4 linked regions of the Tamandua tetradactyla genome follow. The protein of the gene in region 4 purifies or fractionates together with the protein of the main gene of each other region. This does not show direct contact. Links are inferred from orthologs where the notes say so. Each region holds a gene or a part of one and is shown on either strand. Other genes may lie near its edges.

Region 1 (8,069 bases), on a different chromosome or scaffold from region 4:
CTTATCAAAGATCAAATGACCATAGATGAGAGGGTCTATATCTGAGCACTCTATTCGATTCCATTGGTCGATATATCTATCTTTATGCCAATACCATGCTGTTTTGACCACTGTGGCTTCATAATATGCCTTAAAGTTTGGCAGCGCAAGACCTCCAGCTTCGTTTTTTTTCCTCAAGATGTTTTTAGCAATTCGGGGCACCCTGCCCTTCCAGATAAATTTGCTTATTGGTTTTTCTATTTCTGAAAAATAAGTTGTTGGGATTTTGATTGGTATTGCATTGAATCTGTAAATCAATTTAGGTAGGATTGACATCTTAACTATATTTAGTCTTCCAATCCATGAACACGGTATGCCCTTCCATCTGTTTAGGTCTTCTGTGATTTCTTTTAGCAGTTTTTTGTAGTTTTCTTTGTATAGGTCTTTTGTCTCTTTAGTTAAATTTATTCCTAGGTATTTTATTCTTTTAGTTGCAATTGTAAATGGGATTCGTTTCTTGATTTCCCCCTCTGCTTGTTCATTGCTAGTGTATAGAAATGCTACAGATTTTTGAATGTTGATCTTGTAACCTGCTACTTTGCTGTACTCATTTATTAGCTCTAGTAGTTTTGTTGTGGATTTTTCCGGGTTTTCGACGTATAGTATCATATCGTCTGCAAACAGAGATAGTTTTACTTCTTCCTTTCCAATTTTGATGCCTTGTATTTCTTTTTCTTGTCTAATTGCTCTGGCTAGAACCTCGAACACAATGTTGAATAATAGTGGTGATAGTGGACATCCTTGTCTTGTTCCTGATCTTAGGGGGAACGTTTTCAATTTTTCCCCATTAAGGATGATATTAGCTGTGGGTTTTTCATATATTCCCTCTATCATTTTAAGGAAGTTCCCTTGTATTCCTATCCTTTGAAGTGTTTTCAACAGGAAAGGATGTTGAATCTTGTCAAATGCCTTCTCTGCATCAATTGAGATGATCATGTGATTTTTCTGCTTTAATTTGTTGATATGGTGTATTACATTAATTGATTTTCTTATGTTGAACCATCCTTGCATACCTGGGATGAATCCTACTTGGTCATGATGAATAATTCTTTTAATGTGTTGTTGGATACGATTTGCTAGAATTTTATTGAGGATTTTTGCATCAATATTCATTAGAGAGATCGGCCTGTAGTTTTCTTTTCTTGTAATATCTTTGCCTGGTTTTGGTATGAGGGTAATGTTGGCTTCATAGAATGAGTTAGGTAGTTTTCCCTCCACTTCGATTTTTTTGAAGAGTTTGAGGAGAGTTGGTACTAATTCTTTCTGGAATGTTTGATAGAATTCACATGTGAAGCCGTCTGGTCCTGGACTTTTCTTTTTAGGAAGCTTTTGAATGACTGCTTCGATTTCTTTACTTGTGATTGGTTTGTTGAGATCATCTATCTCTTCTTGAGTCAGAGTTGGTTGTTCATGTCTTTCCAGGAACCCGTCCATTTCCTCTAAATTGTTGTATTTATTAGCGTAAAGTTATTCATAGTATCCTGTTATTACCTCCTTTATTTTTGTGAGGTCAGTAGTTATGTCTCCTCTTCCATTTCTGATCTTATTTATTTGCATCCTTTCTCTTCTTCTTTTTGTCAATCTTGCTAAGGGCCCATCAATCTTATTGATTTTCTCATAGAACCAACTTCTGGCCTTATTGATTTTCTCTATTGTTTTCATGTTTTCAATTTCATTTATTTGTGCTCTAATCTTTGTTATTTCTTTCCTTTTGCTTGCTTTGGGGTTAGCTTGCTGTTCTTTCTCCAGTTCTTCCAAATGGATAGTTAATTCCTGAATTTTTGCCTTTTCTTCTTTTCTGATATAGGCATTTAGAGCAATAAATTTCCCTCTTAGCACTGCCTTTGCTGCGTCCCATAAGTTTTGATATGTTGTGTTTTCATTTTCATTCGCCTCGAGGTATTTGCTAATTTCTCTAGCAATTTCTTCTTTGACCCACTCGTTGTTTAGGAGTGTGTTGTTGAGCCTCCACGTATTTGTGAATTTTCTGGCACTCTGCCTATTATTGATTTCCAACATCATTCCTTTATGGTCCGAGAAAGTGTTGTGTAAGATTTCAATCTTTTTAAATTTGTTAAGACTTGCTTTGTGACCCAGCATATGGTCTATTTTTGAGAATGATCCATGAGCACTTGAGAAAAAGGTGTATCCTGCTGTTGTGGGATGTAATGTCCTATAAATGTCTATTAAGTCTAGTTCATTTATAGTAATATTCAGATTCTCTATTTCTTTGTTGATCTTCTGTCTAGATGTTCTGTCCCTTGATGAGAGTGGTGAGTTGAAGTCTCCAACTATTATAGTATATGAGTCTATTTCCCTTTTCAGTGTTTGCAGTGTATTCCTCACGTATTTTGGGGCATTCTGGTTTGGTGCGTAAATATTTATGATTGTTATGTCTTCTTGTTTAATTGTTCCTTTTATTAGTATATAGTGTCCTTCTTTGTCTCTTTTAACTGCTTTACATTTGAAGTCTAATTTGTTGGATATTAGTATAGCCACTCCTGCTCTTTTCTGGTTGTTATTTGCATGAAATATCTTTTCCCAACCTTTCACTTTCAACCTATGTTTATCTTTGGGTCTAAGATGTGTTTCCTGTAGACAGCATATAGAAGGATCCTGTTTTTTAATCCATTCTGCCAATCTATGTCTTTTGATTGGGGAATTCAGTCCATTGACATTTAGTGTTATTACTGTTTGGATAATATTTTCCTCTAACATTTTGCCTTTTGTATTATATATATCATATCTGATTTTCCTTCTTTCTACACTCTTTTCCATATCTCTCTCTTCTGTCTTTTTGTATCTGACTCTAATGCTCCCTTTAGTATTTCTTGCAGAGCTGGTCTCTTGGTCACGAATTCTTTCAGTGACTTTTTGTCTGAGAATGTTTTAATTTCTCCCTCATTTTTGAAGGATAATTTTGCTGGATATAGGAGTCTTGGTTGGCAGTTTTTCTCTTTTAGTATTTTAAATATATCATCCCACTGTCTTCTAGCTTCCATGGTTTCTGCTGAGAAATCTACACATAGTCTTATTGGGTTTCCCTTGTATGTGATGGATTGTTTTTCTCTTGCTGCTTTCAAGATCCTCTCTTTCTCATTGACCTCTGACATTCTAACTAGTAAGTGTCTTGGAGAACGCCTATTTGGGTCTAATCTCTTTGGGGTGCGCTGCACTTCTTGGATCTGTAATTTTAGGTCTTTCATAAGAGTTGGGAAATTTTCAGTGATAATTTCTTCCATTAGTTTTTCTCCTCCTTTCCCCTTCTCTTCTCCTTCTGGGACACCCACAACACATATATTTGTGCGGTTCATATTGTCCTTGAGTTCCCTGATACCCTGTTCAAATTTCTCCATTCTTTTCCCTATAGTTTCTGTTTCTTTTTGGAATTCAGATGTTCCATCCTCCAAATCACTAATTCTATCTTCTGTCTCTTTAAATCTATCATTGTAACTATCCATTATTTTTTCTATGTTTGCTACTTTATCCTTCACTTCCATAAGTTCTGCGATTTGTTTTTTCAGTTTTTCTATTTCTTCTTTATGTTCAGCCCATGTCCTCTTCATGTCCTCCCTCAATTTATCGATTTCATTTTTGAAGAGGTTTTCCATTTCTGTTCGTATATTCAGGATTAGTTGTCTCAGCTCTTGTGTCTCATTTGAGCTATTGGTTTGTTCCTTTGACTGGGCCATATTCTCAATCTTTTGAGCATGGACAGTTATCTTCTGCTGCTGGCGTCTGGGCATTTATTCAGATTTCTCTGGGTGTTGGACCCAGCAAGGTTGTAAGATTTTTCTGTGAAATCTCTGGGATCTGTTTTTCTTATCTTGCCCAGTACGTGGCGCACGTGGCACACGTTTGTCTCAAGTGTTTGGAATGGGTCTCCCCCAGTCACCGATCTCCGTGGCCTGGGGCTTTCGGATCCAAATCTCTCCGTTGGTTCAGGGGCCGCGCGTGGTGGGGGCATCAGCTGCCGCAGCTTGAGGGGACCCTGTGGCTGGTTGCGGGCCGCAGCGGGCCTGGGGGATTCCCCACCGGACCAGGAAGCCTCCCGTGGGGGGGGGGCTTCCGCGGCTTGGATAGCCCTCCTATCTGAGACTCGTATCCGCGGACTCAAAGCAGAGACTCGAAGCCGCCCGCAAAAGAGGGGTGCCACCTGCCTCGGCTTGGGAAACTTGCTTCTCCAATACTCTCAGCCGGCCCGGAAAGGGGGGAGGGAGTAGCTCGGACCACCGCAGCTGCCGCTGATCGGGAGATCGCACGCCGCTCGGGGGTCTCACTGCAGCCGAGTCTCGCAGTCAGTCTAACCAGCCCAGACTTTGGATAGCCCTCTGATCCGGGACTCGTAGCCGCGGACTTAAAGCCAGGACTCGAAGCCGCCTGCAAAAGAAGGGCGCCGCCTGCCTCGGCTTGGGGAACTTACTTCTCGGATACTCTCAGCCGGCCCGGGAAGGAGGGAGGGATTAGCTCGGACCGCCGCAGCTGCGGCCGCTCAGGGGTCTCGCCGCAGCCACGTCTCACAATCAGACTTGCCAGCCCAGACTTTGGATAGCCCTCTGATCCGAGACTTGTAGTCACGGACTCAAAGCCGCCCGCAAAAGTGTCGCGCCGGCCGCCTTGGCTGGGAAGCTTGTCTCTCCGAGTCTCTCAGCCAGCCCGGAAGGAGGGAGGGATTAGCTCGGACCGCCGCCGCTGCGGCCGCTCGGGGGTCTCGCTGCAGCAAGACTCGGAATCAGATTTGCCAGCCCAGACTTTGGATAGCCCTCTGATCCGAGACTTGTAGTCGCGGACTCGAAGCCGCCCGCAAAAGTGTGGCGCCGGCCGCCTTGGCTGGGAAGCTTGTCTCCCGTATTTCCTTTTTCTTTTTTTTTTTTTTTTTTTTTTTTTTTTTTTTTTGCTTTAGACCTCCCAAGCTCCATTTTATAAGGCTGTAGAAGAGACACCTCATTAACTCCCCTACAGAGTGGATTTCGCTGCCCCACTTACCGGATGCAGAGTGCTGGCCAGCGCGCGCCAAGTTTCTGGCACTGGGCGGCGTAGCCCGGCATTCCCCTGCGCCCGCCTCCTCCCGCGGGGGTGGGCCCCAGGATCTGGTAAGTCTTTTGGTCTTTGTACCCGCTATAAAAGGCAGGATAAACGCGATCCTCTGACAGAAGCTCTGGCCTCCTGAAGTGAAAGGGAGAAGGCTGCTCGCCGGAGTTTGTATCTGGGAGATCTGACAAGGGCCGAGGTAAAGCCCACGGGCGGTGGAAGGGCACTTGGGCTTCGCGAAGTTTCTTGGACACCCGCCCCACTCCCGCCGCCCCAGCACCCACGGATCACGGCGAGCCGGGCGACGGGGGCGAGCGCCTGGCTTCCGGGGTACAAGCTCCTGGAGGAGGGGCAGGAGGTGGGGCAGCAGCTGTCCACGCCCTTCGTGGTTTATCGATCTCCTGTCACGAAGAGCCGAGCTGGGCGCGGGGCGCGGCGGGGCTGGCGGGACTGAGGACGCTGGATGCTGCGGACCCCGTGAACTGCCGTGGACGGCGGGGCCAAGGGAGCTGGACGCTGTGGACTGCCGGGCTGAGCGCGGGGGTGAGCGGGTTTGGTGGGCGCGGAGCTGTGCGGGGCCAGGGCGCGGGGCGGCCGGCGCCAGGCTGCCCTCCCCTGGGCTCTGTCTTCTTACACTTCTTGCCCGGGGGACCCTTCGGTCGGGGTTTTCTGCCTTAGTCCCGGCGGGGCAGGGCCTGCGAGCCACGGAAGCGAAAGTCAGCCTGAGCGCGGAGCGTCTGCGCCGAGGCCGCGCCCCCGGGGCCGCGCGCGGCGCCTCTAGGAAAGGCCGAGCTTCCGCTTCCAGCGCGCCGCCGGCCGCCCAGGCTGGACGCCGCTGTCCCGAGCCAGGATGTGGCGGAACGGGCACAGCCCCGTCGCTGCTGCAGTTGTCGTTGGGGGAGTGATTACTTTTTATTTGCATTGCAGTATCGTTAAGGAAAAGCGGGGCCTGGTGTGGCCCCGGGAGGGCGACAGCGATTACCAGGCTGGGCAGGGCTGTTTTCTGTGCACTTGGGGCGGTTGCGGCGACACTCAGAATCTGTCCCTTCTTAGAAGCATGTTTCCACGGGAGCCGGCCTGTGTTGCGGGGAGTATAGGTACCCCCTATATGAATGTAGGGGGTAGCAAACTTTCTTAGGACTCAGTGTTAGAGAGTAATTAAAGAAGGTTCACTAACATATTACCATCTGTTATCATAACTCATTTCAACTTACAGTGTGATGGCGTCCATTTATAATGGAATTTGTTCATTATTTTGCATAAAATGGCTATGAATTTTGGCACTTGGAAGCAAGTTTGCTCTATTGAAATGAACAGGAAATTCCAAGAAAATTCACAAATTACCTCTAAGGCAGGGCAAGTCTGTATACCAAAATATTCATATTAACTTTCACTAGTAAGTCTGTTTTTAAATAGACTTACTTAATACTTTCCCCATTTTCCAAAGATGACCATACATAAGAATGTGATGGACACTTCTGGTCACCTACCCAACTGCCATTGCAGCAGTTGCGGTCCCCCGGCTACAGCGACAAAAGGGCGACAGGAGCCGGGGACATTTGCATTTAAGAAGCACAACAGGGTTCGGGACAGCACAAGCTGAACTGTGCTCTCCTAGCCACTAGATAGGAAGCCACAGGAGCCGGTTGTTCGTATCCTCGTCCTTTACTCATTGCTTGCCTCCACCTTGGCTCAGAACTCTTTTTATCTTGGGCAGCCACGGGGCGGTTATCATCCAAGTAGCTGGGAGAAGTCCTTCGTGTTGACATGACTCTTCATCCTTGCTGCATCAGGCTTCATCCCTGATTTACCCATGGAGAAACCAAGGCACCGAGTGAAGTTTGATGTACAGCGTGATTTCATACTCTGCATTTGGTAACTACTGGCGAGGTCATGATAAGAAAAATTGTAGTCAGTTTAGAAATGTGGGAGACGGTAGTTCTTCAGTAACCAAGAAGTGAAGACTGGTCTTGTTTAAAATGAAATCTGGAATGTATCGTCACTATCAAGACTGATAATCATAATGATTACCTTTAACTTTTATTTTCCTCTATGCTGTATTGAGCCCCAGGGATACATTGTATTTTCGGGATTATGAATATTAAGAAAAATTCCCCAAATATCAACTTTCTAACTGCTATTTGATGTCTATTAATCCATCACATGTTAATACCACTAGCATGATCTGGGAATTTGGAAACAGTAGGTAGTTTTCTAGGCCTTGGCTGGATGTTATATTCTGGTAAAAATGATTGACTGTATTAACCTGTAGAATATTAATTTTAAACCACATATTTCTGTGTGATTTTAAAATTTAGGCCATATGTGCCTCATGCTTCCTCCCGTAGCATACTCGTTTAATACAGGTGAGCAAGGCTATCAGATTGGGTCTTTGCATCTGGAGTTTTCCAAGGACTTATTATTGTTTGTAACCCAGAGAAGTGGCATGTGTTACCTGACAGAGCGTGGAAGTTTGAGTGAAGGGATACAGGCAGTCCTAGAATCTGCCACTTTGGTCAAATCATTTAACTACAAATCTCAATTTCCTCTTTTGTAAATTGAGAAAGATGATAGTCAGACCTACTTGCCCAGGGTTGTAATGGAATAATGTATATGGTGATGCTTTCTTAAGCTGGATTGCACTCCCATTGTGTCTTCCTGCTCATTTGTCTTAACCTTAACCAAGTTCTTGCTTACCTGGGTCAAAGCCCAAGGCTGCCATCACAGAACCTGTGAGAAGTACTTTGGTCACATTGGGATGCATGAGTAAGTCAGGATTCTGTTAGCAAGGAAGGGGGTGGGCAATGGCAGTTGGGTAGGTGACCAGAAGTGTCCATCACATTCTTATGTGTGGTCATCTTTGGAAAATGGGGAAAGTATTAAGTAAGTCTATTTAAAAATAGACTTACTAGTGAAAGTTAATATGAATATTTTGGTATACAGACTTGCCCTGCCTTAGAGGTAATTTGTGAATTTTCTTGGAATTTCCTGTTCATTTC
Region 2 (7,338 bases), on a different chromosome or scaffold from region 4:
GACACAACTACTTCCAGAACTTTCTCTGTATTTTATCTCTGCTTCTTACTGGGTGTACACTTCATTCTCTCAATCGGCCAGGCTTTATTAACTCAGTGAGAAATATGGCCATAAGCAACTCCCAGACTGCATGTCACAGTCACCAAACAGAACTGTTCACTAACAGCTCTGGTTAGAAAAATTCTGGGAAAAATTCTGCTGGGCCCACCTTAAATCGCATGACCATGCTTGGACTGTCTTTGTTTGCCAGGGTTGCTATAACAAATACCACAGACTGGTTGGCTTAAATAACAGGAATTTATTGTCTCACAGTTTTGGAGGCTAGAAATCTAAAATCAGGGTATTGGTAGACCATGCTTTTTCCAAAGTGTATAGTATTCTGGTGGTGGCTTGCTAATGATCCATAACTTATCTTTGTTTCCATCACATGGCAATCTATCTCTCTACTCCTATGTCCAAACTTCCTTTACTTATAAAGACTCCAGTAATATTGGATTCATGCTGATTCATTTTGGTTTCTCTTAATAGCATCTTCTAAGAGCCTATTTACAATGAGTTCATATTCAGAGGATGTGCAGTTAGGATATGAATATATCTTTGTGGGGAATATGATTCAATCCATAACATGGACTGATTCCAAGAGGCATGTGTATCAGGTACAATGATTGGTCCAACCTAATATATGGCGCCTATCACTGTCGACAGTGGGCTATGGTCTACTATCAGAAGCTAAGGAAAAGGTGCCAAGCAGACAAAGAGAAAAAAAAATCTCTCCAGATCAAGAACCTGATAGTTTTTCTAAATACTACTTGACTGCATGAGTGTTCTTATTCCTTTGCTAATATCTGAAAGCATTTTTATCTGAAACCATTTACAGATCCCACTGAATAACGGCACAAATAATAAGAAAAAACCATGTTTCCCCCTTTTGTTATTTTTCATCTATTGTCACTAAATAAAAGCTAAGGTGTCAAAATAAGTACAAACTCTCAAGAAGAAGATAAGAACTCTTTCCTTGGATAAAGATTCTCTAATATAGGATCTAATATAGGATTAGATTCTAATATAGAGGAAGGGATTTCGCTTTTATATTCTGGACCAAGAATAGAGACATCCAGGCCCAAGTTTCCATGTAGTTCATCTAGGCAATATAAAATTAACAAAAATTCACTGTTTGAGTCAAACTGATCTGTGCCTTCCTTTAAGTTACCTTAGAATCTTAAAAGAGGAACTTCTAAAACATGCATATGCCTGAGCCCCACATAAAACCAATTACGTGAGAATCTCTGGAGGTGAGCCACAAGGGATCTGTATTTTCAAAATTCCCCTGGGTAAATCCAGGGGAGAAAACACTGACATTTTGTATCACCCACCAAATACAATTCACCAACATAAAGTACAAAGAAAAAAATGAAGAAAAATTTATTCATAGAATTTTTTAAAGATGGCTTTTCAACTACATACATAACTTCTGTAATGTAGAATAAAACATAATAGATGGGCTTAATGAAAACACATGATAAAATTTAGTAACAAGGACTAGTGGGGAAAGAGGGGCTAGGGGAATTGACAGTTATTGGGCCTACTTGCCTGCTTAAGCAATCTGCAAGCCAATAGGACAAGGATTGATTTCAGACTAATATCAATATCAGAAGTTCAAGTCACCAGGTAAAATATAGAAGCAGATGTATCAGAGCAGCTGATCAAAATTATGCAATATACTCACTGTGAAACACATTCAACAGAAAACACGGATAGATGGATGGATGGATATATGATTACGCAATGTGGTAGTTAGGTTCAGGTATCAACTTGGTCAGGTGAAGGTGCCTAGTTCTGCTGCTGTGGATATGAGCCAATGGTACGTGAACCTCATCTGTTGCTCATTACATCTGTAGTTGGCTAGGAGGCCTGCCTGCTGCAATGAATGATGTTTGATTTAATTGGCTAGTGCTTAAATGAGACAGCTCAACATAGCACAGCCCAAGCAGCTCAGCATACCTCATCTCAGCACTCGCAGCTCAACCCAGGCCTTTGGAGATGCACAAAGAATAACCCCAGGGAAAGTTGCTGGAACCCAGAGGCCTGGAGAGAAGGCCAGCAGAGATCACCCTGTGCCTTCCCACGTAAGAAAGAACTTTAGGTGAAAGTTAGCTGCCTTTCCTCTGAAGAACTAACAAAATAAATCCCCTTTTATTTAAAGCCAATCCATCTCTGGTGTGTTGCATTCCAGCAGCTAGCAAACTAGAACAGGCAGGTACAGTAAAACGTTAATAGAATCTTGGTGGTGGGTATATAGATGTTCACTGTAAACTTCTTTCAACTTTTCAATATGTTTGAATTTTTCATAAAATATTGGAAAGAAAATCAAGAAGAACAGCATCGTTGCTGTAGTGATTAGTTGGTTGTCAGCAGGATACTTTCCTAAACAAAGGAGTAGAAAACAGATCTTGTATTCCAGAGAAAGGGAGGCCTGGCAAAAGCTATTCATTCATTCAGAAAACATAATAAACATTTCTTGAGTTCCCACTTTGTAGCATCAATTGATCAGAGTATCAAAGACAAATAAGATATGGACCTACAGACTGTCCTACAGACTAACAGCACAAGTAAGAGGCAGTCCTAGTTTGGTAATGCAAGGAGAGGAATGACAGGTAAGAAATGATCATCCCATTGATTTAATCTGCTTCTATTTGATTATTAGTGCACTATCATTTCACGTGTAGAAATGTTCTGTTATCTCACTTGGACAACTGAATGGATAAAACCCTTCCCTGAGATAGGAAATGCACAGGGAGGGACATACTTTTGGTGGAGGAGAAATTTTAAATTTGCTTCAGGCATCATAAAGTTTAGGTGTTTATGTAACCTCTAAGTAAATATGTCCAATAGGTCCAAAATTCAGGGAAAATCTGAGCATTAGAAAAAGAATGGAAACATATGGGAAAACAAGACCTTCTGTGAGAGCCTTCAGAGACTGCTTATAGTGAGAAGAAATTATTCTTTCATTTTTTTATCCATTCGTCCAACTATCATTGTCACTAGAACTAATAAAAAACGAATGTTTCCAGAAGTTCTTAACTTCCTGATTAGAATATCCCATGACCTATTTGCAATCACAAATGTTTTTTACTTCCTTGTGTACCCCATTTATTTGATTGACTACTCCTTAATTGAAATGCTCTCCTCACTTTCCCGATTCAGACTATTTCATAGCAATCTACTTTTCAGTCTCCTACTGAGACTTAGAATTTGACAACATACGCGTAGGGTTCCATCCGTGATTCTTCCACGCAGTGTCCATAAGTGAGTTGATTATTCAAACCCACTGCCTCAACCACCGTCTATATTTATTCTTAAGTCTTCATGTCCAAGTTCAGTTTTCCCACAGTTATGCTTCAGGTCAAACTGACTGAGGTTTAGCAGCTAATTTAAAACAAAATTGCGGTGGCAACACAACATAGGCAAAATCAACAGCCTTTGAGACACACTGGTCCAGGTTCTACTAGCTTGTGAGGACCAGTAATTGTTTTAACCCGAGTTTATTTTCTATACGTACTGAAAATGGCAACAAAAATCTTTAATTTGCAAGGCGATTACTGATTAAGTTAAATGTAAAGCATCTATGGTAGTGCTCTGCACTTGACGTGTTATTAATATAGTCTCTAACGAGGTGAACACAACAAATTATGTTAAAGTATCTACCTTATCTAACTAATCTCTGAAAATATTGTAAGAACAAAATATTGACTTGTTTGTGAACACTCGGCCTTTCAGAGTTTAAAGGAACAGCAACTGTTTCCTTTTATAAACACTGAGGAAAACAAATTCTACGAGGTTTCTTAAGAACACAGCTCAGTTTACCTTAGGGCTGAAACTGAAAAGTAAGGTTGCCACAAAAACTCAGTTCAATACTATCCCGACCTCTTTGCAAGCCGCTCAGACTAAACGGAGTGAGGTCATGACAAAGTTCACCAAAACAGAGGCAAAACCGTAGTTTTAATCTTTCCCGCTGCTTCTTAAAGGACCAACCACAACGACTTCAGTCGTGCTGCACGCCACTTCCGTTCGCGCATTTTAATTATGTCAGCGCAAGAGTTCTCGCGGTATCATCCCGTTGCTGGGTCCCTGTTAACGAAGATCTCGCGAAATTTGTTTTACAAGTTCAAGCAAGCCTTTCACCCTTATGCCCCACCCGCAACCTGTCCTTCCTTTTTCTTTCCCAGGCCCCAAATTCTCCCCTCCCCGCCTTCCAGCCGCAACCCTCCGCCTGTTTCCGATTTCAGACCGGAGCCGGAAGTGTGGTGGGCGGGGCCGGGTGGCGGAAAGCGCAGCCGACCCGGAGCTGGAGCCGGGACACGGCTGAGGCTGCGGCCCCTGCCCCCGCCACGGATCGCGGGGTGGCTGGGCTGCGCTGCGCGGCTCCAGGCTGAAGGCCAGTCCAGAGGCGGGTGGGCGCGGGCCTCCCCCGGAGTGTCCGGGCAGCAGCCTCCCCAGGCTTCGCGAGGGATCATGTCTACAGCCTCCGCCGCCTCCTCCTCCTCCTCGTCTTCGGCTGGTGAGATGATCGAAACCCCCTTCCAGGTCCTCAACTTTGAAGAGATCGACTACAAGGAGATCGAGGTAGAAGAGGTGAGCGAGGACCCGCAAAGAGGTACCGGCCCTGGGCGGTCCTCGCCTCTGCCTGGTCCCGGCTCTGAAGGCGCCTCCCCGACCTCTTGGATTCTGGGCGCCCCTCAGGGTCCGCCTTGGAGTCCCCACAACCTTGCAGATACCGGGTGTTGGGGGGACTCGCAGCGCTCACCTGCTCCGAGGTAGATTTCTTTTTTCCTCACTTCGGCATTCTTAAATTTGGATTTGATAATCCAGTGCCCGGATTTGGGTCACCTCAAGTAGAAGGGTGAACTGGTGAGATAGTGTGGTCCACCAGTTCTGGTTTCTCTAAGTAGTAAATTCAGAAAGACCGTGGCCGTTTGGGAGTTTCAGTTAGTCTAAAGGCCAAGGATTGTATGACGTTCAGCTTTCAAGCTCCGTACCTGGTAGGTAGTGGGCGCTCGGTAAATGTTAAATTAATAGCTCGCCGAGTCTAAATACATTGTCTTCCAGAGTACCGAATGGTTCTCAGTTTCGTCGATTCCGTAGAGTAGGACTCGTAATCTTAACAAATGTTCTGCCTTCAGTTAGGCTAGTTTAGATAAATTTCACCATTAGTCATAGGCTGGTCTGTTATGATGGAAGGATGTTTCAAGTAGCGTATCCTGAAGCGGTAACTAAAGATCGCGGTGACAACTAAAATGTAAGACCAGTCGGGAAACCACGGTTGGAAAATCCTAATCCGTTTCATATTCTATAAAAATTTTAGTTATTTTAGAAGATATTCCAGTTTGTCTTTAATACATTGCTTATTTTCAAGTTTACAGATGAGCGATTGGCGATAAGGACTATAAATTTAGAAAAGATAAAACAGTATGAATAGACATTTTAAAACATGTTAAAAACTTTGAATGAAAATGGCATCTATTAAAGTTACCAGTTTTTAAATTTTTTAGACACTTTGCATTACATATACGATGAAGAACACAGTATGTCTTACTGAAAACTTATAGACTCGAGAAAAGTTATCTCTAAAAATCTAAAATTTAGATTGCAGTGAGCTAAAAGTGTAATATAATTCACAGTCATCAAATAAATACATATTTTTCCTATTTGATTTTGGAAGAATATTGGATTATATTTTTGTTGCAAGGAGTAATCATGGAAATTATTGAGACCAGCCTTGTTTTTATTTTTCAAGGAAATATGCTAGGAAGAACAGGATCTTTGGAGTTAGAATAAGGTGCAGTATATCAAATATGCCACTTATTAGCTGCCTGGTTGGCAGCATAATTTCCTAACTAACCCCTTTGAATTGTAGTTTCCTTAACTGTAAAATAGAGATGTTAATTTCTATCTCACTTTGTATAACAGATCCTATTAGTCAATTAAACACTATGGCAAAATACCCAACACACTGCCTGAAACATTAGGAAACTGAGATTCAGAGAGGAACAGTGACCTGCTTAAAGGTCACATGGCTAAAAGAAGATCCATATCTTGAAAAAAAAAAAGGGAGGGGGAATTTTTTTGCATGTTTTCTTCTATTGAGGCTATGATAAATTCCTTTTTCAGAAGTGGTAGTTGATCCAGCTTTCATGACTAACATTCTTTCTTTTTTAAAAATAAAAATTCAGTGAGTCAGTATACAAGAATTGCAGTTTTTAAATAAGCCTTTACGTCTACCCTGTGGCAAACTGCTATGCTTGTAGACTACAAATTGTTATATAATAATAACTTGTACTTCATGGTCTACCAATGCTTTCACAGTCTTAACTTCATTTGATTTTTAGAACAACCTCAGTTTTGCACACTGTTTTCTAAAGCTTTTGCTTTCTTGCTTCATGGAGGAATTGGAGTTAGTAAGAAGACATTATCATTTTGCAGTTCTTCCCCCAAAGGTTTTCACTTTTGGTTAGGGTTCCATGTGTCCAATGACCCTTCTTTCAGTTTTCCCACATGTCCAATGACCCTTCTTTCAGTTTAAATAATGTTTAGAACTTCGTTTGGTGGATTTAGGATATTTGTTTTCATTTTCTAATACCCATTTTATTTTCACATTAAAGGTGAATTTGGATCTTTCTGCTATTGAAACCATGACACAATTTCATCAGGTTCTTCTTTTGCTTGCATCTTTGGCATACATTGTTATATAATCCATAGTGCACCATGGGCACTCATGGCTGTTTCTCAACTTAGATTTTGCTTTTAGGTTATAATCATGAATAACAGAGCAGAGAAAGATAACCAAAAACAATAAGTATTTTGGATTGCTTTCAATATTTTATACAGTACAGGTATATTACTTTTTAAGTAAAAAAAAGTCATATTCCATATTTCTCAAATAACAATATAACTGATTGACATTAAGTGAATGTAATTAGAAACTGTGTAATATATGCTTCAATCATAGGCCAGATACACATTTTGTAGAAACAGATTTCTAAGATCATCAGCTGATTTTAATCCTTAAATTCCTAATACTGTGATTAGGAACACTTGGGCACTTCTTAAACCTAATTCTGGTAACAAAATTATATATATCAGCCTCAGAAATCTACGTAGGTACTTGTAGTCATTTAGATTTTAACATTCTGGATCTGGGTATAGAGAATGTTAGAATAAATTGTGAGGTATGTATATTGTAGACTAGGTTGCATAATATGGTAAAGGCAGTGTGGTGTAGTGAAAAGTATACTGGTCTGGATATTTAGAAAGTGTAGGGGCTGTGCTGATTTTGCCACA
Region 3 (7,949 bases), on a different chromosome or scaffold from region 4:
GGCCCGCCAGATGCCGCCGCCGCCGCCGCCGCCGCCGCCGCCGGCCCCATTTATGGCAGCGCGGCCCGGGAGCCGGCCCGGCAGGCGGGGCAGAGCCTGGCGCCCGCCCCCTGCGCTCACCTCCACCGCCCCAAGTTTTTCTCCGGCCGCCGCGCGCCCGCCCCGTGGGTCCCGCAAGGAACTGCGGGCAGCGCGCCGCGGCGGGGAGGGCGCTCAGGAAGCGGGGAGGGTGCGGGAGGGGCGGGGAGGGCGCTCGGGTAGCGGGGAGGGTGGGTGCGGGACGCGCTCCAACTTGGCCGGCTGGGCCCCGCCCGCCACTCGCCCCGCCCGGGAGAGAGCGAAACTCGGGCGGGGGCTGGAGGGGGCGGGTCGAGGCGACTTCCCGGAGCGACGGAACCGCTGAGGTCATCCTGGCCGCCCCTTCCTTGGCCGCCTCGCCCCACCGCGTTCCCACCCGGCCTGGTCCCCTCTCGCCGCCAGCTGGGGCCCGCGGCAGGGGGCCGGGTGCGGGGTGCGGTGTGTTGGGGGACCCTCTCGCGATACTTGCCGCCTCCGCCTCGGTGTTCCCGGGGGTCCCGACTGCACCCGTCTTTAGAGGAACCCCACTCCCACCCCTGAGAGCCCGCCCCACCGCCTCTGCGCATCGGGACGGTCACTCAAGGGCGCAGCCACCCGGGCCCCGGTCTCCCGCCACCACGCAGGGCGCCGGCCCTGGGATCCGAGAGGGGGCGGCGGCTTCTTAAATTTTGAAAAGATGACGTCCCTTGGTCTGAAGCGTCCAAACACTCAAGCGGGATCTCGACCTTGAGGTCCAGGACAGGGGGCACCCACCCTCTCAGCAAACCCTAACCGAAAGTCTACTGGGTGCCAGGTGCGCCAGGTTTTGTCCGAGAGGCACGGGGAAAGCACCAGCCGCAGCAGACGCGGCGGGACGCGGGAAAACGCAGTGAGGGCGGGAGACCGAGGTGCCTCGAGAGCCCAGGGCGGAAGCACCAGCGTCCTGGGAGAGACAGGCGGCCCCGCGGGATTTGTTCCCCAGGGGCAGGGCGGCCGGGGTGGAAGGGGCAGCGCCAAGGCGTGGGAGGGAACACCTAGTTCTGCGGGGAGAGGAGTTTGGAGAGGCTGGGGTCCCACTGTGGGGTGTAAGGGTGCACGGCCCTCCGCGACCATTTCCCGCGGCAAGGCGTGGCGGATTCGAAGACACCAGCTAAGCGCATCCGCGGAGCTGGTTATTCGTGTCATTCCCGTTTGGGCCGGTAGGGTAGGTAAGGTGCACAGGGCCGCTGGCCTTGTGAATTGGGGCCAATCCCCCCAGTCTGATCCTGAACCCCACCCCTGGGGAGCCACATATGGAGGCCGATGGGAGTGCTTGGGTGGCCCCTGGGGCTGGTGCAGTCCCCAGGCAGGCCCTGGACTTGTGTTGAGAACAGGGCTGGAGGAGGACTTGATTTCCAAGGACAGGAGGGGGGTGGGGAGAGGAAGAGACAGGAGGAGTGCAGCCTGCAAGCACCCTTCCCTGACCCTGGAGGAAGGGGTGCCAGGAGGAGGGAGAGGGGAGGTGTGCAGGGGGCTACTCAGGGGCCTGGTACTTGGGGGTCCTGGGGCACTTGGAGGTCTTGGGGCCTGCCTAGCTAATAGATCCCACCATCTTTAGGGAGGGAAGGTCACAAACTGCAATGAAAAGTAATTTGTGGTTTATCCAAATTCAAATTCCACCAGGCACCCTGGGTTTCTGTTTGTTAAATCTGGCAGCTGCAGCTTGGGCCCCTGGAACCACTCCCTTTGCAGCCAGCTGAGGGACAGCAGAGCCCTGGTTCTGTCCGGGTGGGGAGCCCAGCTCTCCCCCTTCCATCTGAATGATTACCCCCCACCTCCACCCCACAGGAATAGCTGAGTTCCAGGAATTCTGAGCACAGGTGCCCCTGAGGTCTGCCTCTGACCCCTTCCCAGCCTGGGCTGCGACCCTTAACCCTGCCGGGCCTTAATCTCCTAATCCGTGAAACGGGAGCAAGGGTGGTCTTTGTTCAAGAGGTTCCAGAATGCCCCTCCCGGGCTCTGCTCATATGTCCCCTTGGGAGAATGACTTTTCCTTAACTCTGCAGCCGCTCTCCCCAGCCTGCGTCTCCCCACCTTCCGCTCATGGGCCTCCGCCTTCTAGTGCGTCACAGTATCTGTCAGTCCTTGCTCTTTCTTCTCTCCCCTGCCCTGCCCCCCATCTCCCTGTGGAAGGAAGGGCCTGGATTTTGTTCACTGTCGCATCCTTGGTGCTTAAAAAGTCGGCCCGGTACTAGTGGGTCTCACCAATACCTGCTGAGTGGATGTACAGTGGTGCTTTCTGTTACTGGTGTCTGTGTGTCCTGCTGCCCTCCATGGCAGCCCAGCCATCAGGAGCTGTACCCCCAGGCCCTGGGCCCTAAGAGGCTGGGAGGCCACGTTGGGGCCCCGGCTGACAACTCCTTGATGCAGCTGAAGAGGCCCTGGGGCACAGAAAAGGGACAAGGGGACCCAGGCTTGGCAGGGGTTGTGGATGTGGAGCGGAGCGGAATCGACAGGTCTGGAAGCTGCCGCAGGAGCCTGGCCATGGGCCTGGGCGGCGGGCACTCCTGGGGATGGGGGTGGGGTCTGCCTCCCAAGCCTGAAGGAAGGGCCGTCCAAGGCCACGTGGTCTGTGAACCTTGGGGGACCCCTTCTCCAGACCAGTGTGGAAGCAGTGGCAGAGCCACCAGCATGGGCCAGTGTGAGCAGAGCCTCCCTAAACGTGTCCGCAGGCCACCATCTGGCCTGGGGGCTGCCCTGAGGCCCCGCCCTGCAGCTGCTGCCAAGAATATGTAGTCCTGTCCCAGGGCAGCGGGCAGCAGCTGCGGGAGGCGACAGGGCAGGAGACCCATGCACCGCCCTCGGGATGGGGTGGGGGAGTAGGCAGCAGTTTTTGTTGAAAACACCTGGCCAAGGAGGGCTCTGGTGGTCCCAGCAATGTGGACCCTCTCCTTATGACAGTCTGGGGAGGGGCAGGGCAGAGGGGTGTCTTTGAGGAGGGGCGTCTGCCTTTTCTCTGGGAGGCCAGAAGGGATGGGTGTGAGGCTTGATGGGTACAGGGTTCAGGGAGAGCAATGAGCAAGTTGGCCAGTGAAACCAACAGTGAAACCTCTGGCCCGGATGCCATTTCCCAGGCAGGCAGGGAAGGTGGCCTGGGCAGTCACAGTCTCTGCCATGAGAGGGCGCCCTCCAGGCCCGCGAGTGGCCACTCAGCCTCCCATCCCCAGGCCCCTGTCCCCAGCCTCCCGGCTGACCCCTCAGCTTTTTTCCCCCAACCGGCAAGGATGGGGCGGTGGGGGGGGGGCATCTAGTGTACTGCAGGAGGGGACGAGGAAGAGCCTCCTTGGAACTGGAGAGCAGTGGACAGGTGCGACCAGTGAGTAAGGGATAGAAGACACAGAAGCAGGACACCCAGGCTGTGGGGGGCAAGCCTCAGGGCAGAGACGGGCCCAGCTTCTGACCTGACCTCTGACTTGACCTCTGACCTGACCTCTGACCTAGATGGCCCCTCCTGGGCCTACACAGCCGGAGCTGGGCCAGCTGTGCTGGGGAGAGGGGATGGGGGAGTGGAAGTGAGCATAGGTGTCAGATGAGACTCCAGGACCCAGAGGATGTTCCCTGCCTGCCCCAGTCCCTCCGTAGTTAGCCCCCAGAGGCAAGGCCAGAGCCCCGGAAGCTGGTCCACGGTGAGCCTCTGGCCCAGACTGCCTGCCTCACCTCACCCCCCATCCCCACCAACTGAACTCTGACCCCAGATGAAAAACAAAAATGACCCGCACCCATCCCCAAATACTTACCAACCTCATTGGGTGACTCAGCTGGAGCCCTCCTTTTACCAAAGATTATCACCAGCCCAGAGGCTCGGGGTGTGTGTGTGTGTGGGGGTGGGGGGTGTTGGTCAACTGTTGGAGAGACTTCAGCTCAGGGAGGTATTGGGGCTGGCCACTACCCTCAGTGCCCTGCAGGTAGAGGGGGCTTCACTCCCACCCTCAGAATCCCACTTGGAGTCCCTGCCTCCGGCCAGCCCCCAGTTGCCCTTCAGTGGACTTGGGATGCCTGGAGCCCCCCTGGGGCTCAGCAGGGTCCTGCACTGTCTCAGGAGTCTACTCTTGAGTCTGCTGTAGCCCCCAACCCCAAAACACCCAGGACCCCAGTCCCTCTGGCTATCTGCACCCAGCTCCGATCCAGGCACGGCCAGGAGGTGTGTGGGGGAGAATGCAGCCCCCTTCCTAAGCCCCCTTTGCTTCCAGCCCTTCTCTAGGGGACCAGGGCTCCCCTCCCAGGGCCCTTCAGTTCTAGATGAAGGGGTTCAGCCCCTGGCTGTAGGAACTGCATGCCAGCTTTGGAGGGCCCCCTCCACTTGGCCTCTGGCCCCCAGGCCCCCAGCACCCTGCCTGGAGCAGGCACAGAATGAAAGTGAGACTACTCTCTGCCTGCCTGTCCTCACAGGGTCAGAGCAGCTTTGGCATTACAAACGGGGAAACTGAGGTTGGAGAGTCTGCGGCTTGTGGCCCGGCTGTGCGGTCCCCGCGGCGGGGCCAGCCGGGTGCCCACCGGGCGCTGCCGCCCTCCCTGGGGCCGGCGGGGGCGGCGGAGGCGGATGTGGGCGGGCGGCTCCGGGAGGCGGGAGGCGGGCGGCGGGCGGCGGGAGGCGGGCGGAGGGCGGGGAGGCCGCGGCGGGAGGAGCGAGGCGGGGGCGGCCGGCCCAGCGCAGCCAGCGCAGCCCCGAGCGGCCGGAGCCGGCGGCGAGCACCGAGGCCCGGGCGGCGGCGGCGGCGGCGGCGAGGCCCGGCCCGAGGCAGCGCGCCCCCCGCCCGCCCGCCGCGGCCTCCCCGCCCGCACCGCCAAGCGCCGGGCCCGAGCGCGGCCGGGGATGCGGAGCGGCGGGCGCCGGAGGCTCCGGCCCGGCTAGGCCCGCGCTCGCTGGACGCGGCACCCGGTGAGTCCCCTCGGCGCGGGCGGGGCCCGGATGTCCCGCGCGGGCCGGGCGCTTTGTTCCCGGGCGGGCGCGGGCCGCGGCGCAGCCGGAATGGAGGCCCCGAGCAGGAAGTGGCCGAGCGGCGCCGGGCGGGAGGGCGCGGGGAGGGCGCGGGCGGCCGGGGCTGCGGGCCCCGCCGGCCTGCCTCTCCCCCGTGACCTTGGGGGGCGGCTCTGCGGGGCAGCCTGGAGCCGGGGCCGGGCGCTGCCTGGGGGCCTGGGGGGCCGTGGCACCAGCGGGACGCCTGGCCGGCAAGGCGGGTCCCGGCGGTACTGGGGCAGCGTGAGGAGAAAGCTTGGATCGAGCCCGCGTTCAAGTTTGCCAGTGGGGACGAGACCTCATTTCCCCCCAGCCCCGAAGTTGTAGCCGGTGGCCCGATGCCCAGGCTAGCCCACCAGGGATACTGCTACCCCCCATCCCCATGCCAGTTCCCTTCCCGTGGCTGGGGCCTTTCCTCCAGGGCCCCCAACTGCTTCCTGCTGTAGTGGGCTCTGGGGGTGCTGCCTACCCATCGCTGATGCTGGAGCCTGGAGGACACTGTGGCTTTGACCTAGACTGAGGGGTCCTGGGGCAGTCGATGACTCTCCCCAGCCAGAACGGTCCTGAATACTGTCCTGGTGGGCAGACGCAGGGGCCCGAAGTGGCCCCCACATTCACTCCTGGGCTCCCAGCTTGCTCCAGAAGGAGCTGCTCTTCTCTAAGGGAGCTTCGTTCCTGCCCCCCAGCTGAACACCCATTTCCACTGTGTCTCAGGGCAGAGGAAGGTGGCTGTGACAGAGCCTGGAGTGTAAGAGGAAAGCTGTGACAGCCATAATGCCCGGGAAGTTGGGGTGTTCTGCTGCCCTGCGGCTGCCTAGCTTGTACAGCTGTGCACATGCCACCCTGAGTGCACGCACAGGGGCTGGTGGGCTCTCGGCAGCTGCCCAGCTCCGTCGGTACCAGTCCTGGAGCATGTCTGCTGGAGTCCTACAGCCTGGGGCTGGGGTTGGGGGTATTGGGAGGTGAGTCCAGTCCCCTGCCTCTGGGCAGTACCCCTCAAATCTCAGCAGAGCACCCTCTGTGCTCACTGTGCTGTGACTCAGAGCACTTTTCTTGGTACCAGTGTCCTACAGTCTCACTGCCCATGGCCTGCCAAGTGTGTTGGGCCCGGCCCTCTTGGGGGTCTGGTGTTGGAGATGGGCTGTGGCCCTCCCTGCTGCTTTAGATGGGTCCCAGGGGAGAGTTTCTTCCAAGCCTGCCCTCAGGAGTGCCCATCTAGAGGGGTAGCAGAGGACTGCCCAGAGGAAGAGCATGCCAAGTGCTCTTTCCCAGAATGCCCAGAGCCGGTGACATGGAATCTGGGTTTTGAGGGATGCCTAGGAGTCCATCCAGCAGGGGAGTGGTGGAGAAGGCCACGCAAAATCCATGGCCAGCGTGTCTGCTTGAGTGAGAGCTGGCTGGTGGGCTGCCGTGGGGCAGGCGCCAGTGCTCTGCCGTTTGTACTGTGCCCCCCTCCCCTTTTGTTGCCTCTGAATGCTGTGATTATGGGTCTGTAACCATCCTGGACTGGGTGCCCCTCACTGACAGGACCAGTCTGAACCTCTGTTTGTCCTTCAGTCCCAGCACTGGACCTGGCAAAACCAGAGTTGCCTGGCACACATGGGCCGAATGAATGAACCAGATTCAGACTGGCAGGGGCTGTGGTTTAGGAGGGGCCTGGGGGTTTCCGTGGCGAGGTTTTTCACGCCGCCCTGGACAACTCTGGGCTCTCATTTGCTCCAGCTGCCTGTGCTCCCAACTCAGTCCTCTTCATGTTTGAGCTTCTCTCCTTCCCCAGTCTGGGGCTCAGGGCGGCGGTGCCCCAGCCTGGGCCGGGATTCCCAGCCTCCGGGTAGAAGCAGCCCGGGCAAGGAGAACTAACGGGCACCCGTGGCCAAGGCGTTGGGGAGGCAGGCTGGGGCAGCCTGGACGCTGGGGCTGGCAGGTTCGGGAGGCTGGGATGGGCTGGGAGGGTCCTCTGGGGACGGGGACCAGGGAAGGAGGGGATGGGCAAGGCCCACAGGGGCGTGGCTGAGGACCCGAAGTCTGGGGGTTGGGGGAGGGAAGCTAAAGGGGCTTGAAGCTCAGGCCAGGAGTGCCCAGCCCAGGGGGCAGGGGGCAGGGTCAGAGGGGAACATGAGGCTGGAGCAGGGCTTTGGGGAGAGAGAAAGTGGAGGGGAAGAGCTGGAAGGCTGTGCCGAAGCTGGGACCCTGAGGTGAGCTGGGCGCAGGATGTGGTTGCAGGGACAGAGGGGCTGGCCTGAATGCAGGACATACCCTCACCCACTCTCTGCTTCCCCCAGCGTGAGGGCAGGCCTGCTGGGCTCTGGAGACCTGGTCCTAGAAGGAGCCTGAGGGTGACGTCTGGCCACAGCGGCTGCAGAGCTGGGCACCATGAGTGACGTAGCCATCGTGAAGGAGGGCTGGCTCCACAAGCGAGGTCAGTGCATGCGGGCGCGGACGCCGCGGGGGGCTCCTGGGTCTGCAAGCCTGAGCGGAGCCACCAGGCGGGCTGCCTTCTGAGGCTTCTGGCCTGGCTGGGGTGAGCATCTAGGGCCCCACATCCCCTCGTGGCGTTGGGGTCACAGCCTCGAGGGGCGCCTGGTTTGAGGGACTGAGGGGCCAAGGCTCAGCCTACAGACTGGCCAGCAGAGAGGCCGCCTAGCTGGTGTGGGTGGGTGGGTTGGAGGAGCGGCTGCCAGCCTCCCGCCCGGCTTTCCTGGAAGGCAGCGAGGACAGTGAGGCGTTCCAAGGCCTGGCACACTGCAGCCTGGGGCACGGCCCAAGGGCTCCTGAGGGCAGGCAGGGCTGCTTGGCTTGGCCCGGTGCCTGCCTTGGGTCTGAGCTGGCGGTGGGCAGCCGCAGCAACCCTGGGACCCGGGTGCGGGGCATGTTTGCATTGAAGCCAGGCTCCCAC
Region 4 (7,433 bases):
GTCATTCCTGTGCCACTCAGCTGCTGCACCACTGATGACATAAAAGATGCATTCATTACCCAGGCGCAGGAGCAACAGATAGAGCTGTTGGAGATCCCAGAGCACTCTGACATCAAGCAGGTGAAACAGGAGGGGGAGGTTTTTGACATGTTGAACCTGAGGTACTGTCAAAGTATTCTAAAATGTTAAGTAGGAAGTGAAAATTTGTGATTAGAGTATGGGGTATTGATTAGAATAGAGATCCAGATGGCATTTCAGCCAAGTCCTAGTGCTTTTCGGGGAAGAGAAGGTAATTAAAAATTTCCTAAGGTGGGTATTTAGGAGACTGTGTGCCATGGGGAGGATCTTGGTAATATCTACCAATTTCGCTTTTTAAAATCTGGTTCCCCAAGTGACTTGGTATCTGTAAACTACTTGTATCTTTTCTTTTTTTGTGGGTTTTTAGACTGAATTTTTGCTAAATTATAGTTTATACTATAACTCATGCAACTCTGTTTACTTTAGATTGCACAGCCAGGAGCAGCATATTTTTATGTTGAACTTGACACAGGAGAGAAGCTTTTTCACAGAATTAAAAAGAATTTTCCTTTACAGTTTGGAAGGTTTGTTTGCTTCTCTTCTTTTAAATGTAATTTTACTAGATCTAATATGAACAATGTAGTGAGATGCATGGACAATTAACACAAAGATAAATAAGGAATAGTACTTGCCCTAAGAAATATATAGACTTAGGGCAAGTCAGATGTTACCATGTGTGACAGTAATTAATGCAGAATATGAGAATGTTTTGGGGAACAATGAAAAAGTTTTGGAGAACAATGTACTTTAGAAATTTAGAGAAGAGAGAGCTCATTTGTACTTGATGGAAGTCTTCATGAAAGGATTAAAGTTGAACCTGAGAGATAGATTTAGAGGACAAAGATTTGGGTGAGGACACTCCAGCCAGGCATAGAAAATTGCTCCATTAATTGAGCATATGCTCTGTGTAGGTTCTGTGCCAGGAACTGTACATGTATTGTCTCAATTTCATGCATTGTCCCTGAATTTCTAAAGTAAATTGTCTTCTAAAACTTTTTCATTGTTCCCTAAAACATTTTCACATTCTGCATTAATTACTGTCACACATGTTAACATCTGACTTGCCCCAAACCATGAGGTCTTAACATCATTATTCTCTATTGTCCTAAAGATCTTGATGAGGCTTCATTTCTGCTCCTAATATTAGGTAGTACGTAACTGAAAAACCACATACAGGGTGATAAAAATTAAGCCAAGACTGAAGACGGAGACGTTGGCAAGAAGAGACAGAGGATAGAGGAGAATAGAAAATGTGCAGAACAGATTATCTAAAGCTGGTGTCTCATTTGTAGCTGTTTTTTACCCCTAGTTAGAACTGGGCTTTAAGTGAATCTTGAACCAGTTTTGAACTGATGTAGAATGTGCCCAAGAGATTGCCACTATTCAATAAGTCTAGTAAATGTAATTGTCTGCATTTTCAAAAAGACATTATCTTTTTGTTTTTACCTCAGCAACAAGAAGATGTGGACACTGACTTTGCAGGCTCATGATTCACAGACACACAGGCACATAAAGCCCACAAAAGGGAGATTTTCCAAATGGTTTTGTGCTCATGATGGTTGTATTTTCAACATTTAGTATTTTTCAGAGTACTAATTTACAGTTATGTGGCATTTTATAGGTAAGAAAATAACTTAGAAAGATATCATTTTCCCAACTATACAATAAAGACAATATTCTCTCTGTTTAACAGATGAAGTAGCTCAGAGGTTTGCCTAAGGAAACAGAACTTGAGCTCCAGTTCTTTGACTTAGAGGAATTCTGTGATTTGAATTCAATTTTTCTACTTATTGTAGCTTCAGAGTAGAATATTGGCCATATAAATGCACAAATAGAGTTATTTCTACTATATCAAAGTGAGTAAAAATAAATACAAATAAAAACGCTGGCATTAGAAGGCAGCTTGTGTGTAGTGTGTCCGCATATAGTAACTTTCAGTCCTGAGGGTCAAGATAAGTTGTTTGGTTGATAGTGAGCTTGTGTAGTTTTGCCTGTGTTGGCCTGAATTCTGTGGAAGGAGAGGCAGAAGAATTTCAAGACAGAGAGGGTATGACACTTGGTATCTCACTTTACTAGGCCCTTATGGTCTAGTTGGGATGACAGACTAGAGTTTAACTTGTAGTCACAGCTATTGTGGAGGTTTGACTGTTATTCCTACACCTTATAAAAACCCTGTAAGGTAGGTGATATTATTCTCATTTCATAGGTGAGGAGGTAAAAACTCAGAGATAGAGTAATTTGTCTAAGTAACAGACCACAGGTGGCAGAGCTAGGAATGGAATCAAGTCTCTGATCTTTCTGACTCCAGTGTCTGCCCTCCTTCTACTGTGTCATGTTGTTTCTCAAAGTATTAACAGTATAATTCAAAATTGTTCAATAGAGGAAGAAGTTAGTGGGGTACAGAGCATTAAGAAACAGGTGGGACCTGAACTGGTCATTTAAGTTGGTATGATGTTGATAGGATGGCAAAGATGGCACTAAGAACAGGAAAATGGTACAAGCAGAGGAATTTGCATACCTTCTTTGGGTAACACTGAGGAGTTGTCTGATTGGAGAGGAACAGAGGGAGGAGGGGGATTTCCAGCTGATGCTGTCCTTTTGACTTTAATTCTTTCTTCAGGGAGGTCCTGGCCAGTGAAGCCATCCTTAATATTCCTGACAAGTCTGACTGGAGGCAGTGTCAGATCAGCAGGGAAGAGGAGGAGAACCTAGCTCGCTGTTTCCGGAAAGAGTTTGAGCCCTTTGACTTCACTCTGGATGACTAACCAAATGGAAAGATTTTTTATGAGCTTCACAGATAGTAGCAGCAGCCTGTTTTTAAAGAAACTACATATACCTATGGGGACTTTTTCCCACCCTCTTTTTCATGCATTCCTATGGAACCTGCCTGCAGTAAGAGGCCTAGGACTGAATATATTTTGGAAAAGTCACATTCATGAAAACCCTATATTAAAAGTATGTCTGTCATCCAGTTCCAAATACAGCCTGGTTTTAACAAAATTTTCAAAAACATTGAAACCATCAAATAAAATTCATAAACTTTTCCATTGTTGACAGGTGTTTTGTGTTCATGTTACTTGTGACTACTGAAATGAGGTGGTGTGTGTAATAGGAGGTATCAAGGCTTTAGGTGTAGTTGTTATCTCAGAATCACACAGGGTGGCCTCTCCTTGAGAAAGCCAGAGTACAGAAGAGATCTAAGATCCTTAACATTTTTTCTCATAGCATTCATTTTGATGTACAAAAGTTCATTCAGTCCTTCAGCAATTATTTCCTCCTATGAGCCAGGTATTTTTTAGGCTCCGGGAGTATAGCCATGTCCCAACATGGTCCCTGTTGTCTCAGAGTTTACATCTAATTGGAGGAGGAGGGGGCAGATTTAAGAAAAGAAGATGAATTCTGCTTTGGCTATGTTGAGATTGAGATGCCTGAGAGATCTAACAGATGTGGCATCTGTTGTTGGGTAGATCTAAACTCATGGACATCTAGATTGGTGGTGATAGGGATTTGGGGATCATAAAGATATAGGCCATTGATGAAATTATGAAAATGAGTGAAGAAAATTCTAAGCTGAGGATGGCTACCTGAGAAATTAATATTTAAGGAGTAGCCTGGAGATAGAGTGGTCCAACAAGTGCACAGAGAAGGAGCACAGAGATCCCTGGGGAATGCCATATTTTGAAAGCCAAAAGAAAAGTAATTGTTCCTATATAATTGGGCACTTATGATCCAGATAGTAAATTTTACTTAATGCTCACGAAACCTCCAAGAGGTAGGTATCATTACCTCTATTTTACTCACGAATAAGCTGAGACTCATACACTTGAGCCCAGAATCGACAAGCCTAGATGAAACAAACTGGAGCTCTGCAGGTCTCTGACAAACGGGACGCTTACGGGAGTGAACTATGAAGGCTAGTGCATCAATGTGCTTGTTTGCGCAGGATTCTTTCGATTTCTTCAGATTCCTCAATATTTAAATAGCTGGTGGCCTTTGCCAGTGCCGGTTCAGTGGGCGGTGGGGTTGAAGGATAAATGGAGCAGCCTGAGAAAAGGTGATGTGAGACAGGGCGGGAGGCAATCTGAAGTTTGGAAAAGAAAAATATATAAGAGAATGGTTTGAATGGAATGTATAATCTGGACAGAGCTTATATTTTCATGACTGGAAAAAAACCCCACAGGATCCTCTAGGTTAGAAAAATGATTACAGCATTCCCAAGAGTGGATTTGGAGGTCTTCCTGGCTTCTCCACCCTTTAACCGCTAGGATTCTGGCCGGCACCCGGAGAATTTGGGGCGGGGCTTTGCTGAGACAGTTCCCGGAAGTGACGCATACATCTCGCGAGAAGAAAAACGCGCGACCCTCGGCGGCCCGGAACCGGCCTGGGAGCAGCGGTTAAGTTAGGTTGCTTCCCCTCCCGCCCCATGGAGCGGCCCCCAGGGCTGCGGCCGGGCGCGGGCGGGCCCTGGGAGATGCGGGAGCGCCTGGGTACCGGCGGTTTCGGGAACGTCTGCCTATACCAGCATCGGGTGAGGCCGGGCGCGAGAGGGTGCGGTGGTGGGTGTTTGTCTGAAACGCAGTGACTGTCAATATATGTGAGACTTGGACAGTGTTGGAGAGCCAGTGGGTCATAGCGTGCGTGTGTGTGATACCGTGCTTGTGAATCCGAAGTTGTGTCTGTAGGAACACGTTGAGAGTGGTCCTGGGTCATTGTGAGAGTGAGCTATTAGGGAGGATTTTTGGTATGTATCAAGGTATTTAGATATTTAGATCTTTTTGTAGACGTGGAGCGTCAGGGTGTGTGGAGCAGGTGTACAGAGTTAATGTATGTGAGCACGAATGGATGAGAAAACGGGGATAAAGGAATGGGGGCTGCCTGTTGGAATGTGTTTTTACCTGTGTGTTCTTGGAGGCCAAGGATATTAGTAGGGGCTGGAGCAGAGAAGGATTCATGGTGGGTCCAAGAGTTAAGCCTTTGGAAGCATGGGTAGGCTTTGGAATAGGACATACATTCCAGGTTGCTTGTGTGAGGACGAGCTGGTGAAAATGATCATGACTTCAAAGGGAAGGAAATAAGATTGGGGAGGGAGGAAGGATTTCAGTTTGTGGAGGACAGCTAATATCGGACCCAGGAATTTTACTTTGAGTTAATTGAAGATGTTTAACCATTGTAGCAGCAGTTAATAATCGTGTTTGAGTCATGTATCTTTTCAGATACCAATAAAAGCTATGAACCCTTACCCCCAGAAAAACGCACAGGCATATCTACACGACCTTGGGTATCTTATGCATTTGCTATTTGAGGGGGCTTACAGTCTCCTGAAGCATATTAGCAGACCTCTTAGGTATATAGACTTTGGGTTAATAATTCCAGCAATGTGGCCTTTGTTTTGACATCTGTAAGATGGGTATAATATACATATTTCATGGGTCTGTTTGAGAGTTAAATAAAATAATAATGTATGTAAAGCTAAGTATACTGTTTCTGGCCCATGATAAGCTCGCAAATATTAGCTGTTGCTGCTATATCACTGTTGCTGTTATCATCTTCATCCTCATTAATTGGTTTTAAAAATGGAAATGTAAGGTAAAAGTGGTGTTCTAAGAAGATTATTTTGTAAATAATGAATTTGAATGGAAAAACATGGGGCAAGATGAACAGTTAGAAAATATTAAAATGCCTGTATTTGGCCTGTGAATGAATAAGGTTATTAAAAAAAAGAAATTATGATTTGCTGTTTTAAGGAACATAGGAGTGGGTAGAGGTCATAATGTGGGTAGGCAGAAGGGGAAATGGGAGTCTACCTGGGGGACGGTAGGCATGTTTGTGGGGCAGAGTGACAAATGTCACTAACAGAACGAAGTTTTGTGAAGCAGATTTCTAGATAGAGCATAGGAGGAAATCTTGGAAAGAGGGCAAATGGAAGGTAAAAGCCTAAGGCATTAAGTACTTTGAAGCCAATGAAGTAATAAGTTTAGTAATTCTCACCGGGAAGGTGTGTGTGGAGGTGGGGGGGGGGGCGGTACTTAAGACAGTCAAAACAAAGAACCAAAGTGCTTTTAGTGGAATGTTGCCTATAGTCTTGTTATCTAAGCCTCCCCATCAACCGATCATAAGAGAGGAAGCATATATGGTGATAGGATTTTGTGACTGCTTCTCCTGGTCTCTGTTTGGGGCTGAATGAACTTATCACTTTTTAAATGGAAGAGACTTGGGTTCCTCTAAAATCTTAGAAATTTCCTGTTGTACATAGAGACCCTTTTCCCAAAATGAGGACATTTGATAGCTGAGCATATATTGAGGAGAGAAGGAATACTCTGTCATAAGACTTGGAAACAGCATCATTCTTTTTCCAAACCTGACTTGGGGTTTACATTTACAGTTTTCGAGATATTCATACGTTTGGTGGAAGCCATGACCCAGTATTTCATCTATACCCTTTAAAGCACAATAAAGAAAATAATGTGAAATGTATTATTTAGCTGATGACATTACTGGTTGCTGGTGAAACCTAAATCTGCAAAAACAGTATTCCTTGCCCTCAAGAACATCTCAGGTCCAGTGGAAGAGATAGGCAGGAAAACAATTAAAATACAATGTGATAATCTATAACAAAGGTATTTGCAAAGTGATATTGAAGCATGGCCATAGTAACTGAAGCATTCTTTCTGGGGAAGAGGGTGGCACGTCTCAAAATGTGTTTGGGAAAACTAATCCCATGAAATACTTTCAAAAAGGATATGATGGCCAAATGCATTTGGTAAATGTTGCGTATACTATTCCTTCATTTGGAGATTCATAACCCATGTTACCATAGTAAGAGCTCTAAGAAATCCTGTAGTAAAGAAACCAATTTTATTTAGTAACTTTTCCAAATGTATTTGAACACAGAACTGGTTTTGTTTTATTTATTTATTTATTTTTGCTGAACATCTATACACTTCCCACCAAACACTCTTTGTGAAGTGGTTGAGTGGGAAAGGCCTGCACAGAGTAAGTGACATAAGAAGTTAAAAGATCTTCTGGGGTGAGACGTTTTTGAAGCAGATTACTTCCTGCCTCATTCTCACTGGAATTTAGGGTTTAACATTGTTCATGGTTGTACCAGATTGTGTTTATGGTGGTGGTCTAGCTTGCTAGCTGCCGGAATGCAATATACCAGAAACAGAATGGCTTTTAAAAAGGGGAATTTAATAAGTTGCTATTTTACAATTCTAAGGCCAAGAAAATGTCCCAATTTAAACAAGTCTATAGAAATGTCCAGTCTAAGGCATCCAGGGAAAGATACCTTGGTTCAAGAAGGCCAATGAGGTTCAGGGTTTCTCTCTCAAGTGGAAGGGCACATGGTGAACACA

What was found.
Region 1: the proteins of CHUK (region 4) and RIPK1 purify together in Homo sapiens (affinity purification with western blotting; 3 studies listed by BioGRID, with this or other methods). This does not show direct contact. The link is inferred for Tamandua tetradactyla from reciprocal best matches to the Homo sapiens genes CHUK and RIPK1.
Region 2: the proteins of CHUK (region 4) and MAP3K7 purify together in Homo sapiens (affinity purification with western blotting; 9 studies listed by BioGRID and IntAct, with this or other methods). This does not show direct contact. The link is inferred for Tamandua tetradactyla from reciprocal best matches to the Homo sapiens genes CHUK and MAP3K7.
Region 3: the proteins of CHUK (region 4) and AKT1 purify together in Homo sapiens (affinity purification with western blotting; 5 studies listed by BioGRID). This does not show direct contact. The link is inferred for Tamandua tetradactyla from reciprocal best matches to the Homo sapiens genes CHUK and AKT1.

Annotation. Positions count from the first base shown.
Region 1 is NC_135351.1:4,962,334-4,970,402, forward strand, and holds the start of RIPK1 (receptor-interacting serine/threonine-protein kinase 1), read left to right. Parts: upstream 1-5,021; 5' UTR 5,022-5,132; intron 5,133-5,145; exon of another isoform or gene 5,146-5,269; intron 5,270-5,437; exon of another isoform or gene 5,438-5,613; intron 5,614-8,069. UniProt on the Homo sapiens protein: Serine-threonine kinase which is a key regulator of TNF-mediated apoptosis, necroptosis and inflammatory pathways.
Region 2 is NC_135331.1:147,859,855-147,867,192, reverse strand, and holds the start of MAP3K7 (mitogen-activated protein kinase kinase kinase 7), read left to right. Parts: upstream 1-4,290; 5' UTR 4,291-4,512; coding exon 4,513-4,632; exon of another isoform or gene 4,633-4,654; intron 4,655-7,338. UniProt on the Homo sapiens protein: Serine/threonine kinase which acts as an essential component of the MAP kinase signal transduction pathway. Plays an important role in the cascades of cellular responses evoked by changes in the environment.
Region 3 is NC_135340.1:87,905,044-87,912,992, forward strand, and holds the start of AKT1 (RAC-alpha serine/threonine-protein kinase), read left to right. Parts: upstream 1-4,901; 5' UTR 4,902-4,975; intron 4,976-7,335; 5' UTR 7,336-7,426; coding exon 7,427-7,472; intron 7,473-7,949. UniProt on the Homo sapiens protein: AKT1 is one of 3 closely related serine/threonine-protein kinases (AKT1, AKT2 and AKT3) called the AKT kinase, and which regulate many processes including metabolism, proliferation, cell survival, growth and angiogenesis.
Region 4 is NC_135339.1:61,763,921-61,771,353, reverse strand, and holds the start of CHUK (inhibitor of nuclear factor kappa-B kinase subunit alpha), read left to right. Parts: upstream 1-4,421; 5' UTR 4,422-4,501; coding exon 4,502-4,606; intron 4,607-7,433. Other genes in the region: CWF19L1 (CWF19-like protein 1), read left to right, coding at 1-120, 505-602, 2,699-2,843.